Linked DNA regions of Oryzias latipes. The protein of the gene in region 1 interacts with the protein of each later gene in a pairwise test. Links are inferred from orthologs where the notes say so. Each region holds a gene or a part of one and is shown on either strand. Other genes may lie near its edges.

Region 1 (8,365 bases):
AGAGGAGGAAAATCCTGAAGACTGAATCTGTATGAACAGCGATTTGCCTTGTGGACTACAAGGGAAGTAGATTTTTCTTTGAGCCTCCCACCAGGCACAGACATTCAGGAAATGGATGCAACAGAGTTTCCAAAGACTAAAAAAGAGCATCGCAAGGGTCTAACAGAAATGCACTTCCCACTATTTCCAGAGTATGGAGGCACTTACAGCCGGGCAAAAAAAGTATTTGAATATTCTGCAAGTTGTCCCACTTAAAATGATGAGAGAGATCAGTAATGTTCATCGTAAGTTCATTTCAACTTTAAGAAACAGAACAAGAATCCAGGAAACCACACTGTAGGATTTGACATTAAACGCACCATTATTCAAGTACATTCTATAAAAAAAAAAACAATTCTGGATTCTTTTTTACTTTCCGTCTCCCACAGTTGAAGCATATCTATGATAAACATTACAGGCTTCTCATTAACTTGCAGAATCAGTGACTAATAAATACTTTTTACCCCAATGTTTGTAAATAACCTTAGTTTAATTTTAAGGAATTTGAAAATGTATTAAGCCACAGTTCTTTTATTTAACTTGCAGACTTGTTCATGGTTTTATATTTCAAATGTTCACTCGGTTCTACAGCTTTTTGTTTCATGATGGGAAATAAAAAACATTTGGAAAGGGTTCCTCCTGTTGTGTTTATTATTTGCAAGGAATAAAAACAATCAGATTTAAATCCACTTCTAACCGAAACATATTTGCTGTAAACTCTAAAACTGTTGTGACAAAAAAACAAAATCAAATAATTTTTAAGTAAAATGTGGGGTGTCAGTCATTCTTCCAAATCTGACTTAACTTGTAGGTTTTGTAGAGGAACTTATGTAGGACTCCAGAAGAAAGATTGTTTCATCCACTTGATTCTCTGCTGAATCTAATCTGGAAAGAAAAAAAAGGAAAATTTAAAACCTGTTTAAAAAACTTTGCCAAATATACATTTTTTGTTTCTGTCGTCTTCTCTTACTTGTTAACATGAAGCCTTAAGCTATCCAGTTGTTGCTTTTCAGGAGCGGTGATCATTTCTTCCACTTCAGTGAGCTGTTCGGGTTCGGCCCCGCTGGCCTGCAGAGACGCCAAAATAGCTTCGATTCGTTGCGATTTCTCCAGAAGGCGCCTAAAAAACAAACATAATTCACATTTGGCGCATAGCAGTACCTGCATTCTTGTAAAACTTCAAGGAAAAATATGATTCAAAGACCCACTTGCTTTCTTTGGCCTCAAACAGCCGCCGCTCCATAAGGTTGGCCACTGTCTGGAGAGGAAAGCAGGCATGAAATAATACACCTGTGGCTCTCCATCCAGCTTTCTAAAGCTCCCAGTTTGTTTTCAGACTCACCTTGTAACAGTTCTGTAGCAGCAATCTCGCAGTAGGCAGCTGGTTGACGGTATAAAGATAGAAGGTCCGAGAGGGAGCAAAGTCTGGTGTTTTGGGGATTTCCTGGAGGATACATTTAAAAAAGAGATAATTACAGATAATAAAAATTGTACTAAAAAAAGAAAAAACTAGAACTATGGCTGCTTGGTTCAAACTTTGAGAACTCAACACATGTATTTTTAAATAAATCTATATACATTGGTAAACAGAACAATGCTGTTTTGGATTAAATAACTTCAGCTCAGATGTTTAAAATTCACCACCAGGTTAAAAAATTAGTCTTAGGATAGATCCAGGTGTATGATTAAAACAAATCGTAAACTTTTCATCCAGTTCCTTCTTTAAACCCATTTTACATCCACGTACCTGAAGCTGGACCAGGTTCTGTGAGAGCAGAGTGTACAACATGTCTTTAGCCTCTTTTGCTGGAATCATGGCGAAATCCTCCACTTGCTTCTGCTCCAGATGACGTTTCCGTAGCAACAGGCGGAAGATGCGCGCTGATCTGGAGCCAAATCTGAGGATGAATAAAAGGTATCTTATTAACAATGGGAGCCCAATAGCAACCGTATGTGTGGAGAGCAAACACACACACTGGTGTACCTCTCTTGTACGATGGACTCCAGGGTGGCCCGTGCCAGGTTAGCCAATGCTTGGTTCAGATCTGACAGAAAAGTTAGGGAAAGCTTTTGTTTTGGGTTTAGTAGCGAATGACACGCACACCTGTGGGATGGTTTGAACCTTCAAGTGAGCAGAAAGGATACTGACAATATACATTCCTCCTCCACTTTCCCCAGCCTTCCCCACAAACTCCATCTTAGGAAGGAAAAGTGGGAAACTTTTTGAGCATTTTGTGGGGAGCCAAGCAAAAATCAGAGAGATATTTGAGATGAGGAGGACCTACAGGGTCATCCACCAGCAGAGTGAGGTACTGGTCCAATATATGGCGGGGGATGTTGTAAGTAGCTGGGAGGGACCTGAAGATCTCATTGGCTGAAAGGGGTTTTGTGCACGGGGCAGTGGAAGAGGTTGTCACCTCACTCATCCTCAGCATGGTTCTCACTATTTCACTGCTGGTCTGGGTAGGAAAGATGTGAGAAGACAGCTAGTTAATAATAAATAATAATAATAAATAATTAATAATGAAATAAATGTAAAAAGCTGTAGTATTTAAAGCACAGAGAACAATCCAAGAAAAAAGAGGAATTATTAGGAGTACTTCCAAAAACTATCACTTTATTTCATTTAAAATTTGAATTTTCTTTGATTTTAAGGTCAATACTTCAAAGTCAGATAGTCTTATCAAACAACCAAATGCTTATGCTAAATTCCTTCAGCCATACAAAGAGGGTTTTCAAATACTATTCATTTTTACTTTTAACCATCAAATAATTATACACTGAGGAAATGTATTTGGGTTTTTTTTTCTAGGCAATTATTTTTCAAAACCTGTTTTTCTTTTAATGAATAAAAAAAATGGTTAGTTTGAAATGTTTTGTGGAATTCCCACCTGATCTAGTTTGTTGGCGACAGCACTGATGATAGTCTGATCCCGGAAATGCTGGTGGAACCGTTCAAAGTTCACCTGCCAGTAAATCCCCTCATCCCCATGAGTCTGAGCACCAAAGATCCAAGTTATGAGAAGACAAACAGAAGTCACAACCATAGAAGTCTTAGCATATGCAGTGAACATCTTGCTTTAACAAACGTCTCTCTGACCTCTGGGTCCATTTTCGCTTTTTTCGCATTTCTTTGGTCCTCTCCTTCCTCGCTGGCGAGCGAGCGTTTGCTCCGGCCTATGAGTGTCACTTGAGGAACCCTGTAGCAGTCGGGGAAGCTTTCCGGTGTGGGTGCAGTGCTGCTGGCAGGAGCTGCAGAAGTCGAATTGGCAGTCTGACTGCTCCCTGTCGTTCCTGCTCCTGCTGCTGGGGGACAGCGCTGGAGAAAATGAGTCTCTACCAGTTTGGAAAAGGTGGCGGACACTTCACCATAATCCATGCTCGACCCCTCTGTATCAACAAAACATCAAAGGAAGTATTCATTAGAAAATGAATCTACTGATCGCGATATTTTAGGCCTCAATCCAAAGCTTAACTGAAAAAAAAACCTTCAGAAAACAGATCATCTCTTTTATGGACAGTCTTTTGTTTGATTCTGATGCTCACCGTCCATACTCTGAGTTAGACGGTCTGCGACTGTCTTAACTGTGTTGCTCATCGTCATGTGGCCCCTCTGCAGCAGCTCCTCTATGATAAGCTCACCGGTGTCGCCGTACAGCGTTTTGGCTGTGTATATGTAACGTGGGTAGCGCAGAATTCTCAGTACCCGATCGCAGTGGGCTTTGTATTCCGTCGGGCTCCCCGGTCCTTTTCGACCTTGAATAAACGAACAGGCTCCATGTTGCACAAGAACGCACAGAGACTTCTTTACCTTGATGAAAGAAGAAGAAGTCCTGTTAAAGTACATGAACATTACCAGACATCACTGTATTGTATTGACAAAAAACTGATAAGCAATCAGTTTCAGGTAAAACTGTTTTCAAATATGAATATATATTACCTGAATAATTACATTATAATTTTGTTTCTCTTATTGTTCAAATATCTTTAAAGAACTAACTTTTGCCATATTGCAAGGGACATAGTAATATATGTGACCGTTTGCTTTGAATAATAATTCAAATAATGAATAATTTTGATTATTTTTCAAAGAACATCTGACTACAGCGAATGCAATCTCAGTCTTGCGTTGACCTACCAGATCCACTGACAAGCCAGTTTCATGAACAATGGCTCTTAAATTTTGCGTTCCACTTTTGAGCAGATTTCTTCCCACTTTCTCCACCACTTCTCCAAAGTGCTCCTGCAGCAGAAGACCACACAGACGGACCTCCTGGGCTGTCATCTGCACAAACACACCAACAGTTCAATGAAAACCACTAAGTTAATAATAAGAACTAATGCATGTGCTTTTAGTAGGCTGTAAAGATGAATCGATTCATCCATCTGAGGCAAGATGTTAATCGAATCAAACTATACCAATATGAATTAATTTTAAAAGGAAATAAATCAATTATTATCAATATTGGAAAATACCATTTGGATTAAGGCACAGTAGGCTTTTTTTCTAACTATAACGTTAAAACAGACAACACATCGAATGGCAGCAAAATGTAGGTAAAACTGTCCATTCATTCTTTTTTACTTGTTTGTTTGTAAACATGTTTAATTTACACTTAATTATGTTGCAAAAAAATACAGGGAATGTGGAAAACTTCCCCTGCACTGTTCAGAATCCAGGTATTTATTTTCTGAGTCCCACTGGTTGAATTCTTGGCTAAAGATGTTCTGGATCGATTTTAGATCAGTGAATCGGATCGGATTTGATCGTTCAACATGAACCAATATAAACAATAAATCAATTTTATTTTAGTTCAGTTTAGTTTTTCAATAAACAGCACTTTTTTTAGTTATGTTATCTCTATACATCTAGTTTACGAACTACAAACAACAATAATAGTATTTTACTTTGTTAAAACAGGCACCACTTATTCCAACAGGTAAAATCTAAAAATAAAAAGTTAGATCGGTCATTAAGTAGTTTCCCTTATAGCATACAGTGCATGTAAACTATCTCTTCTAATTTGAAAAGTCAACAGTTGTTCAAGTTCTTTCCCCCTTGGGCTTTTGGATAGTAAAATTACAATTGCATGCTGGGAATTTACTAAATTATCTCTGAATATTTGATGGTATAAGCCTGGCATTTTTTTTTTTTCACAAACCTTTTTCGATTTCAGATCTCGCAATGAAAGCAGACTCCGTGCAGATAGTTTAGCGCATGAGGCTAGTCGATGACAACAAACAGACACTTCCGCTCCCGGTTTTTTGCTTGCTGTGATTCGACAACAGTGCCGCAGTGCATGCCGGGCTGGGGGCGGACAGCTCCCTTCAGCTAGTGGAGGACCGACGTCAGTGTTTGTGCTGCTCCGGGAAGATGGCGGAGGCTGCGGCTGTTCCCTCGCATCGGTTTTTCTGTCACTGTTGTAAGGGAGAAGTAAATCCCAAACTCCCGGTAAGTCGCGTTATTTTTGGTTATTCGCTCATTTTATGTTGAGTGTTATGCGCGGCTGACAAGTCTGCCTTCCGGCAGGTAGCTGTTTGTTTCGGCTACTTCTTGCTACAGCTAAGCCCATAGGCTATTAGCATATAGCAGTGTTTGTTGTTGTTAAGTCAGTAAAGAAACTCCGGTTAGTCGTTTTAGGGGAAACTAAGCTACTCTTAAAACTAACGATAGTAGGTCTTGTTATTCGTGCCTGTTTTAAAATACTTACGCTAATCTCTGTGCTTCAAGGTAGAAGTTGTGTGCTTGGTGGTAAATGATAGATGCATGTTTTTGAACAAAACAGCCCGAATTAATCTGAGAGTTTATTTATTCATAAACTGTCACTCAGATTTTCCTTTTCAGTATATATACACATTTAGTTTTTGTTTCTGTTAACAGCAGTGGCAGTATAAGCAGGGGAAGTTTTCTGTAGATGTCATACGTTGTGGTTTACTTTCAGTTTTAGTGTTAAAGTCAAACGTAACAATGTCGGCAGAAGAGGCGTTTAAATGGCCTACTATTACTATTTTACAAATATTCTTTAAAAGGCCATTTATTTAAAAGGACATTCCTACGTTTTTACAAAAACATTTAACTAACTGTAAGTGTTTGTTTTTTTATTTGTAGTTTTTTTTCTCTTGTTGACTCCGTTTTGTGTTTTTGAAACAAATGTTCCTTGGTAAATAAATAAAAATTGACACACATTTTTCAATCATTGAAATATAAGTTATTTTGTTGATGATAATGATTATAGTATTTCATTTTGGACAAGAAAAAATTTGGACAGGTTAAAATAAATACCAGAAATATCTGAATTTCTAACATGAATGTGTTCTCTTACATGTTTTATAAATTTAGCTTATAACTGGCTGATGTATTGAGTAAATGAATTTTGTTATATAACCCGAATTTTAGGAAACACTGCTTTATGTTGTGTCTAGATTTTGACTGAAAGTTTAAATTAAAAAGTGCAACCTGTTAGCTTCTTAGAAGCAATCTGTTAGACTGATACAGAGATGGAGGGTTCTGTGATTTACTGTGCCATAAAGTAAAAATAAACATCCAAACGTCTATTTGTTTAATCGACCAGTAAACTGGAAACAGAGCTGTGACTATTGCCTCCCCATTATTTTTAAATTTCAGATAATTGGTCACTAATTCTGGATTTACTCACTTGTCTCTTTGTGATTTTCTTTTTCTGTGTTGGATCAAGCAACTGCAAAGATAATATCAAACATTTTTTAAACCTGAAATATAAAGTAAATTATAAAAATCAACAAAACAATACATAACATTTATTTATTACAAGTAATTGTGTGAGTTTTGTGAGTAAATCTGAATTCAAAGGCTTTGACCAAAATAATTTCTGTAATTCATAGTCACTTTTTTTTTCAATTCAACCTTAAGAACATTTGTGAATTTCATTTGTATATTTAGCACTCCAAATCGAGTGAACTACAATCTAAAAAGACATTATTGTTGTGACCCACTTTTTAATGCTACAAGTATTGTACTTCAGGTGTTGCCGTAATGGCTTACAACTTTGTTTTTATGCTAAGTGACCTCAATCCTGTTCCCCTGAGTGAAAAGCTCTATCTTTAAATGAGAGGACAACATATGATCCATCCTGCTGCAAAGGCTGCTTGCTGGTTGTGTTTGCTCCAAGCTGTCATGCTGGTTTTGAACGCCCTCCCCCTAAGGTGTGGTTGGCAGACCAGCCGTACCTCTTTGGTTGCATTCATATGTTGAAACACTAAATGAAAGTCATTATTTATGCTTTTAATCAGCCAATCAAAAAAAAAAAAACATCATACATTTTTCTTAACAATTATCCTTTGAAGTATCACGATATGTGTTGTATTTTACATTAATAAAACACAAGCCCAAAAATGGTTTGGCTCATGAAAACAGTTGCACAGGCTTTTAAAATGTCTGTTTTTCAACATATTAAGATGTAAACAATTAAAAGTACATTTAACTGGAAAGTCTTAATGATGGACATGTTTGCTTATAGTATTTCTAATGTACTTTCAACAGCCCTTAAACCAGGATGTTAACATCGTACACATTGGTGTGTTGAAATATCTACTGTCATTTGAATCTTTTTTACTTGTATTGTGTTTGGCATCTTCAATAGGATGTATACTAAATGTAAAACCAAGTTTTTACATCTAAATGTTACTTTTTTTTCTTTCTGATGTGCTGAAACCCAATTGAAATGAAAAATGTGGCCATAGTTCGATGTTTAGTTGTCTCTTTTTTTCCTCAGCCTTTATAAATAAGCGTGACTCTGTCCTTGTTCTTTTTCTTGCAGGAATACATCTGTCCAAGATGTGATTCAGGTTTCATAGAGGAAGTAACAGAGGATTCCAGGTAAGAGACCTCTGTTTCTGGAACAGAACCTTAAAAGTGAATACATGTTTGTTGCTCTGTCAGTTATCTGTTTATTGAATCTTCTTCCAGCGTGACCTTTTAGTTGATCAGTTTAGTACGCGTTTATTGAGATTGTTGTACCTCCCCTGTTTGTGTTGCTTTCATTAGTCTTCTAGACGGCGGTGCAAATGGGATAGATGACACAGCCACACAGTTTGCAGAGGTACGTTTGACTCTGATCATATTAAATTATGATTAATTTTTGAGTTTTCCCCCCATTTTTTGATCTCTCTGTCTCCCTGTCTTTTTTTTTTTTTTCATGTCCCTTTCCATAACTGTTTGTTAATCCTAACGTCTCTACAGCTGTGGCACCTCCTGTTATTGGAGAGGCCGTTTACAACAGACAGTGACACTCCTGACTCCGAGCCAAGGCTCTCCAGCAGTCGTTTGGGGAGTTTTAGTGATTTCGGA
Region 2 (8,365 bases), about 14 Mb from region 1:
CCAAAGGTCCACGAAGAGTCAGGCCTTCCTTCTCCACCGGCATGAGTGTGTGACCTCACCAATGACCTTCTGGAAGAAACACTCCTGAACCCCGTGGACAGCTGAAGCTGCTGCTGGAGGTGGATCCACATGAACTCCACAGGTCAGTGATGTCACTGCAGATGGGGGTCCAGGCCGGTGACTCAACACTTTTGGGAAAATGAATTTAGTGAGAATATTGAGTCTGTTTTTGGAAGAGTAAACACTGAGAATGACATTTCAGATCGGGTTTGCTAAATGCACAGAAACCAACACAGGATCCGCCTCAACCTGATCCAGGATTCAATCCAACCTTTGAAATACCTGACAGCGGAATTTAATACGGACTGGATCACCAAATCTGAATCCTGATTTTCAGGGTCAACTTCGCTATTCGACTGTCTCCTGTGCTGCCGAGACAACAGACTGTCCCCATCCTGGGGTAAATAAAGCCTATCTCATCTGGAACATCTCATTTCAGATCAGGATCCAATCCTGGAGCTCAGAAACGGGATGTCTGGTCTGACCGGATCACGGGCTTTGCTCTGTGGCTGTGCAGAGGCGGGCGGCATGGCCTCCATGAATCCGTTTGCTTTGAGGATTTCCTCTCCTCTCCTCTGTGCCTTGGCTGTTTTCCACAGACATGCTGGTGCATAAAGTGCATCACAGCTCCAGACTGACCGATGTCTGCAGCAGCTGAGAATAAACCAAGTTCATGGAATCAAAGCTTTATTTAAAGGACAACAGTTCTGCCTCAGACTCAGATGGAGAGTTCTTGGAGCAGAAATCAGATGAAACATGAGACGCTTTGAAAGCTGCTGTTGCTCCTGGACCGATGGTAGGATCCTGTCTGCTGCAGACGGAGCTCCAGGATCGGGGACTGAGCAGGAAGTTCTGGGCCGGCCCGGCCCGACCCTCTGGACTCCAGTCTGGGTTCAGGTTTCCTCTTCTTAGAAAGATGTTCTGGTCATTTTTAGTTTGTCCTTGGCAGAAACACTGAAGCGTTCTGATTCTTAGCTCCACCCCCTCAGGCGTCCATCAGGTACCCACCTCTCAACTGTACGACCCCACACATGCTGGGGGGGGGGGGGGGGGGGGGGCAGTTACATGAGCAGCTATGAAGTCAAATGACTGGATTTTGGTTATCTGGGTCATGCAAACATGGTGACACTTAAAGTCGCCCACAGGAGCCGGTCTAGGGTTCAGCAGCAGAACGGACCGGGTCGCTCGGTCCAGTTTGGGATTAGCTGACTCCAGCAGGGGGTTCTGGGAAAGTGGAGCAAAGGTGGTTCTGTTCTGGGTGTGCGCCTCATGTCCTGCACATCCAGGCATTTCATGTTACAGCTGAGCTCAACACTGAGCGGCTCAGGAGGCCCTGATTGGCTGAGAACAGCATGGGGCTCACAAGGGGGCGGAGCTTTAGGCCCTTTTCCAGACGTGGATCTGCAGGATCAGCAGGGCAAAGGTCACCACTGCTCACCTTCATGAACAGTTCTGCCCACACAGAACCAGATGTTCTGAGGCGGAGGCCCGTGCACGTCACTGTGGGGAATCTTCACTACCCTCTTCAGACGTTTATGAAATAAAGCATCAAATTCTGACTGCAGTAAATCTAAGACAAACTTGAAACTAAAAATGGATGAAGTTTGGTCACTAAAATCCTCGTTTATTTCGTCTCGTTTATTTCGTCGTGCCGTGAGCAGAGCTGTGACTCAGCCAGGAACCCGTTTGTCTGGAATATCAGAGCCTCCATGTTCTGGGTTTTAGTTTCTGGTCTTTAGCTTTGATTTCTAACATGTCATGTTGAGCTTTGACATGCTTTAGTGTTGAGGGGTTTGACCTTCAGGGCCACCGTAGCTTTGAGTACAACCACACTTGAAAGTCCATCCAGACGCAGCCCTGAAGCTTTCAGCAAATGTTCAGACAGAGACGAGAAAACAACTGACACTAAAGTAATCCATTCACACAACAAAAAGAAAATGTGTTTATCTAATTGTGGATTTATGGAACAGATTGGATGAAGGTTTACAACCAAAAGTTTACATGTATTCAAAAAAACCTACAAGAAGTCACTAATAGATCTGGATGAGGCCAGAAAGGATTAAACAAAAACTGTCACTTTAGCACAGTCTCCATGCAGAATAGTACCGTGAACGTTTTGTACCATCTGTAAATAGTAATGCGTGTATTAAATACGTACACCATCAGGTTTTGTGAAAAGGGGGGGGTGGAACACTCCTTTTCAAGAACACTCTATTATTTTATGTCTTTTAAACCACCATGTTGGTTTTGTGTTTGAAATGAAAAACTAAACTGAAGCTTTCAGGCTGACGTCACCTCCTGGAAGCAGAAGCTCCAGCGCCAACAGTAGGTGGGACGTCGGCCCCCCCTGGTGGTGAAGTATGGTACGGCCCGAAAGGATCAAACGTCAGACTGTTGGCTGCAGGTCGACACACGAGGTCACGTGACCGTCTGTTTATTGGAGCAGCAGGTGACACCAGGTTGGACTGCCTCTTCAGTCACACGCGTGCACGTGGCGTGCACGTGCAGCAGCTGCTCAGTAAATGGCCTCGTCCATGTTGTCGTCGCTGTCGCCGCCGAATTCCTCGCCGTTGTCGAAGTACGACATGATGTAGTCGGTTTCCTGCACAGAGGGTCCAGTTAGACCTGCAGAGCCTCCGTGGTTCTGACCCAGGCCTGCTGACCACGTACCTCCTCCAGTTCTTCCTCATCATACTCCTCCTCTGCCTCTGCTCCCTCCTCCTCCTCCGGCTTCTTCTTCACCCCTCCCTCCTCCTCCTCTGAGCTCTGCTCATGCTCCTCCTTCTTCTCCAGGGTCTGCAGACACTTCCATTAAAGCCATCATCATCATCATCATCATCATCATCAGAGGTTCTATAGAAACCCTTCACCTCCAGTTTGAGCAGCACCTCCTCTTCCTCCTTCTTCTTCTTCTTCTTCTGGACTGGCACAGAACTATCCATGGTGCTGAAGGCCAGACCTGAGGGAGACAGCAGCTGATGCTCACCCCCCTGAGTAATCTGATTACTGCTGATGAATACTGTTCAGACGAGTCAGTAAGGTACCCAGAGTACTGAGTAATGGGATTACTCGCCTTCTCTGACTCTCCTCCTGATGTGGACCTGCAGCTCTCTGGGGAATCGTCTCCAGTCTGAAATCCAGAGACGTGCAGACATGAAGGTTCTGATGGCGTTTTCATTGGATGTTACCGTGGTAACGGCGTCTCACCCAGGTTCCAGTCCGTGAGGCTGTTCGTCTGCTCGCTGCTGTGATATTTGTCCGAGTAGCGCTGAACATCTGCACAGGAAGAAAGCAGGACTTTCAAAATAAGACTGCGTGTGTGTGTGCGCGCGTGTGTGTGTGCACGTGTGTGACCTCGCTGTGCTGCTGCTGGCTTGATGAAGAATGGCAGATTCTTCATCACTCCTCTAAAATCCTGCTTCAGGGCCAATAGATACTCTGCTTCTTCTCCACCTGCCAGGGGGAGGGGCTTCTGCTCCATCACCTGGACACCAAATCCACCAACTTCAAATCCCAGAATTCAGTGCTTCAAAATCAGCGCATTACCCCAACTGTTGGTGTCAGAGCAGAAAAATGTCAGAGCTCCTCTTTCCTGCATCTGTTGTTTGTTACGGTTCACGTCGAGACGATAAATGTCTGCCTAACGTAGACGTCAGTGACATCCCATAATAACCCACAAGGTTCAGAATGACATGAACAGCTTTAACAAACAATGAAAACAACAACAGAGGGATTTCATTCAACCAAAAAGAATAACACTTAAATATAAATGAGGGGTTTTCCTGGTGTGGGCGGGGCTTACAGGAAACACAGGCGTGGGCTGCTGAAGTCCTGGGGGGAGACCTTCTCCCCTGCTGATGCTCGAGTCCGTGCCGAAAGGCCTACGGCCCCGCCCTCGTCCCGCCATGGCTGGTCCCCCTCAGACAAAACCGGACCGAGCCAGAACCGCCCTAAAGACACAACAGGACCCCACTGTAAATCAGGATACGTCCACGGGGTAAGCCCCGCCCCTGTCACACAGCCCAATGACCACTCCCCCTTTTCAGGTCAGAGGGAAGCGCATCAAGGCCTTTCAGGTGTGTTTGATCGTTTTCGGTTGTTCCTTCCATCCCCTCAGAACCTGATGTCATGTAGCGTCTGTTCCAGCAGGTGGCAGTATACAGGCATTTCCAGAGGAAAAAACGGGAATAAACCAGTGACTGCATGTGGGAACTGGACCGAGTGGCCCCGCCCCCTAGCGTTCCAAACAGGAAAATCCCGTAGACATCTACAAACGGCTGTTCCTCAGTCGTTCTATGGGTCAGAGGAACCGCTCTGGATCTGATTCTTTAGAACCTCTTCCTGATAATCCTCATTTTTCATTTCATTTCTGTAGTTCAAGGTATAAACTGACCAATCAGACGCCTCAATGAAAGTGGGTGGAGCCTGCTGACCCTAACCCCAAGTTTGACTGATTTCTGTAACCTGCTTTCAAGTGGGTGTGGCCTTTCAACAAGCTCACTCCTGGTTGGTCAGTGTGGTTGCTATAGAAACGATGACTCAGACCAACTCGGACCAATCACTGGCGGCGGCGTTAAAACGGCGACTGAATTCTGCATTGACTAGATATGGACTAGGAATCGGATCCGTCTCGACAGGGAACCATTCCAGCCCTGATGACGTATGTGATGATGTCACTGACGACACTGCAGCATGTGGGGCCTAAGAACCCACGTTTGAACCCCTGCTTCCTGATGACGTCACGCCTCTCTGGTCGCTGTGGTTCTGAGCTGCTTTCAGAGAAACGAGGAAAATGTTTTGGTTTTTGATTCAGGGGCTTCGGCTGACGTCATCAGCCTCATCGATCAGGCTGATCGTGAAGCTCCATCAGAACCCTGCGGGCTCCCTTCTGACCTGGGCTCGCGCTCGGTCGGGTATGACTCCTCTGACCTGTTCCCGCTTTTCCGTTACGGCTGCAGCTTAGTGCGCGCTCCCGCGGCGCGCTCCATGTTCGGTTCAGACTTTCACAAACTCCACCACGAACGGTTGTTTACCGTCCCCGGACCTCGCTTTACAGGCGCCCCGCCTACTACCCACCGGAAATGTCCTACGGCAGTTTGCGCGCGCTTGCATTCTGCGTTGGGCCGCGCGTTTCTGCCCCCTATCGGACAGGAGGACAGAAATCCAGCTACATTTATGGTCGATAGCAGTGGCGGTTCTACCCTGAATTACTCCCCGCGCGAGACCCCCCCGCCCCCCCCCCCATAGAGTCACTCTGTCCATGTCAACTGACATGTTTTATTGGAGCAGAAGTAGCAGCAGAACAGCAGCAGCAGAACAGCAGCAGCATGCTACCATCACAGCTCATTTAACATTTATGAACTAAGTTTACAACAGCCTTTGGCTGTGTGTGGGGCCATAACCATAACCATAACCATAACCATAGCTGGATCGCAGGCAGTGTTTGGCCGCTCATGCGACTCCTGTGGAGAGTCCTCCTGAGCTGGGGGGCAGGTGCCGCTGTTTCTTTTGTTTCCCATCGTTTGTTTGCATTTCTGCTCTATCCAACCCGCTGACCCCTTGGTGCACCGTTGTCCAGGAGCGGTGCCACGGCCGGGATTTCCGGGGATCGTGTGTGCTCTGTACACCGTTTCAGCGAGTGCCGTCCATCCACGCACTGGGGAGCGGCGTGATGAAGCCGGATCGAGAGCTATCGGAGCGGGTTCCCCCTTCCGGCCTTCTGTGGCCCCGGGCACAACCAGAGCCCAGTGTCCCACCACCCTGGACTGGCGTCGGTTACTGCCACTGTACGCAAGGGGCGTGGCATTGAGCCTGTTGTGCCGCAACAGAGCGCACGGCTGGGTGCAGCTGACTGTGTGGGCTGGGCATGATGGCCCTTGTGGTTTGGTTAACTCTTTTGGGTGTCTTTCAGAATAGGAATTTTAATACTATTTGTAATAAAGGGTGTCTATTTTCTTAAAAGCACAGTCTTGGTTTCCTGTCGGAGAGTCCTGTGCTCTTCATTTTAAGTCTTCTACTGGAGGCATCCAAGGGGAAACCATACTGCCACAGGAATCTTGGTGCTGTGAGCAGAAATTGACGTCAGCGCCAGTTTTGGCCTGTGCTGACTTCACACTACCCTTTATTCTGGAAGTAGATGCCAGCCACAATGGCCTTGGTGCAGTTTTGTCCCAGGAGCAGGGTGGCAGTGTGCGGCCATTGCCATGCCAGTAGGGGGCTAAAAGCTACAGAGCGTAACATGCAGAACTGCAGCTCTATGAAGCTGGAGTTCTTGGCTCTTAAATGGGCCATGATGATTATGAGATAAAGTATCGTTCTGGCAGAATGTGGACGCCCTGTCACGACATCCCAATCGTAGTTCAGCAGGGGTCGGCGACATGGCACCCGGTACTTCACAAAGAAATGACCGAAAGAAAGATGGCCGACAGGCTTTGAGGACATTCCTGCTAAAATCTCACAGTCTGACCCCAGACTTTGGTGAAGCTGCAGCTAAGAAAAGATGGCAGGAATCTGGCTTAGACCAATGTGCAGCAAACAGCTGGAATATTTCTGTGTCTGAGGCACTTTTCCCACTGCAAGGCCTGGAATGTTCAGAGTCAAATGTTGGAGTTTTGTTGAATGACATTATTTTTGGTTCTTTTGTTGTTGGCTTTGACAAAGATTTCCTGAGAAGTACTTTATTTATTTGTTTAAATAGGGAAAGAAAACCACTGATGTCTTTTATTTCTAATTTCATTTCTCATCTTTGTAACATCAAGCTTTGGCTGTTAGGGTCAGTAAATATTGAGTTCTGCCCGGGACTTTACTTCCCTGCTTTATTTTGTCCCCCCCCCCCTGATCTGGACGATGACGACTTTAAAACTGAACCTGATCCGAGAGTCCGGACCCTCAGTCCTGGAGGATGGAGCCAGCCTCACCCCCCCCCAGCTGCGGTTTAGCCCCCGCCCGTCTATTTTTCACATCTTACTCCTCTGCTCGTCACATCAGCTACACACCCACCTCAGGCAGGATCTCAACCCCCCCAGGGTCGCCGTCACCACATCAGCCCCCACCCACACTCAGCATCTGCTCCGCCCCCGCCCAGTCAGACTTGGGTTCAGTTTGGGGGGACGTCAGTGTGACAAAGATCTGAGTTCCTGCAGCTTGGAGGAAGAGGAGGCAAGGAGGAGGCTGAAGAGTGGAGGTGTGGGTTCCTGGAGAAGCTGCTGACCTTCATCTCCAATGGTTCGGGTCCAAAGAGGACCAACATGAAGACGACAGGAAGCTGGATGATTCTGCTGAGTCTCTGCTGCTCAGGTACGTTTCAGAACCAGCCTGTAGCAGAACCACAGGTTCTGGTGGCGTTTGGGGGCTTCATGTGATTCACTTCCATTCTTTGTTTCTACGTTTTTTCATTTCTCATTCATGGTTGGTTGTTTGTTGGTCTTGGACCTGCAGGGTTGTTGTCTAGATTAGAAGGTAGAAGACGGAGACTCCTCCAAAAACCAGACCCAGTCTGGTTCCAGATTTGATTCAATGAGTTTTTGCTGAAGCGGCTCCTGTAAGCCACTGCTGAGGGCAAAGAGGTCCAGAGAGCAGCGGGCCGGGTTCAGCACCGTGAAGACCACGGTTCTTGCTCTGTGGACCTCCATAGGAGTAGTTGTCAGGGCCAGACTGGGACATCTGTCCCTGGGGGGTGGGAGCAGAGAGGGGGCATGGTGTGAGGGGGGCAGTCTGGTTTGGGGGTGCAGATTGGACCTGCATGGTTCAGTCAGTGTGAAGTTCATGGTCAAATGTGAGCGTGCGACGTCACACGCCCCCCAGTGGGGGGGGGGGGGGTGATGTAGAGGTCAGGTCGGGGGGCAGCTCAGAGGACCCAGATGGGAGGCGACTGCAACCCTTATCCTGCTTTCAGAAGCCTGGTTCTCAGGAGGGGGGGTCATGCTGTCTGTACCCCCCAGGAGCAGGTCTGGGTTTTTGTAGGACTTCATTAGAACTGAGCTAGACTGGATTTGTATCTGCTGCAACTTGGACTCCTTATTCAGACCAGAACCTTGGAACCAGTCCTTAGGTTCAGAGATCAGACCCCCCCCCCCCCATGTCCTGCCTCTAATCTAATCAGCCAAACCATCAGGATTTGGACCCAAAATGGTTCCGTTGTCAGACTTTAAGACAGCAGCTGATGGAGACAGTCTCCAGTTCTGCAGAACCATCATCTTTGGATGTATGACCCAGTTCTAGAACCACAGCCTCACCAGTTCTGAGGTCTGGAAGAACTTTAGTGGTCTGGACATGTTCTGGGTTTGGGTCATGTTCCTGTGGTGGG

The links.
Region 2: the proteins of polr3c (region 1) and polr3gl interact in binary tests that used the Homo sapiens proteins (3 or more experiments, as listed by UniProt). The link is inferred for Oryzias latipes from reciprocal best matches to the Homo sapiens genes POLR3C and POLR3GL.

Annotation. Positions count from the first base shown.
Region 1 is NC_019874.2:18,838,515-18,846,879, reverse strand, and holds polr3c (DNA-directed RNA polymerase III subunit RPC3), read right to left. Parts: upstream 5,321-8,365; 5' UTR 5,202-5,320; intron 4,325-5,201; coding exon 4,178-4,324; intron 3,851-4,177; coding exon 3,586-3,850; intron 3,430-3,585; coding exon 3,140-3,429; intron 3,036-3,139; coding exon 2,931-3,035; intron 2,499-2,930; coding exon 2,325-2,498; intron 2,237-2,324; coding exon 2,185-2,236; intron 2,085-2,184; coding exon 2,024-2,084; intron 1,938-2,023; coding exon 1,787-1,937; intron 1,484-1,786; coding exon 1,382-1,483; intron 1,298-1,381; coding exon 1,248-1,297; intron 1,160-1,247; coding exon 1,010-1,159; intron 925-1,009; coding exon 840-924; 3' UTR 668-839; downstream 1-667. Other genes in the region: itga10 (integrin alpha-10), read left to right, coding at 1-25; E3 ubiquitin-protein ligase RNF115, read left to right, coding at 5,414-5,491, 7,836-7,894, 8,063-8,117, 8,258-8,365. UniProt on the Homo sapiens protein: DNA-dependent RNA polymerase catalyzes the transcription of DNA into RNA using the four ribonucleoside triphosphates as substrates.
Region 2 is NC_019874.2:32,573,745-32,582,109, forward strand, and holds polr3gl (DNA-directed RNA polymerase III subunit RPC7-like), read right to left. Parts: upstream 5,149-8,365; 5' UTR 4,990-5,148; exon of another isoform or gene 4,954-4,989; intron 4,011-4,953; 5' UTR 3,968-4,010; coding exon 3,863-3,967; intron 3,612-3,862; exon of another isoform or gene 3,545-3,611; coding exon 3,415-3,544; intron 3,337-3,414; coding exon 3,268-3,336; intron 3,191-3,267; coding exon 3,134-3,190; intron 3,020-3,133; coding exon 2,931-3,019; intron 2,866-2,930; coding exon 2,731-2,865; intron 2,663-2,730; coding exon 2,576-2,662; 3' UTR 1,664-2,575; downstream 1-1,663. Other genes in the region: immunoglobulin superfamily DCC subclass member 3, read left to right, coding at 7,308-7,356. UniProt on the Homo sapiens protein: DNA-dependent RNA polymerase catalyzes the transcription of DNA into RNA using the four ribonucleoside triphosphates as substrates. Specific peripheric component of RNA polymerase III which synthesizes small RNAs, such as 5S rRNA and tRNAs.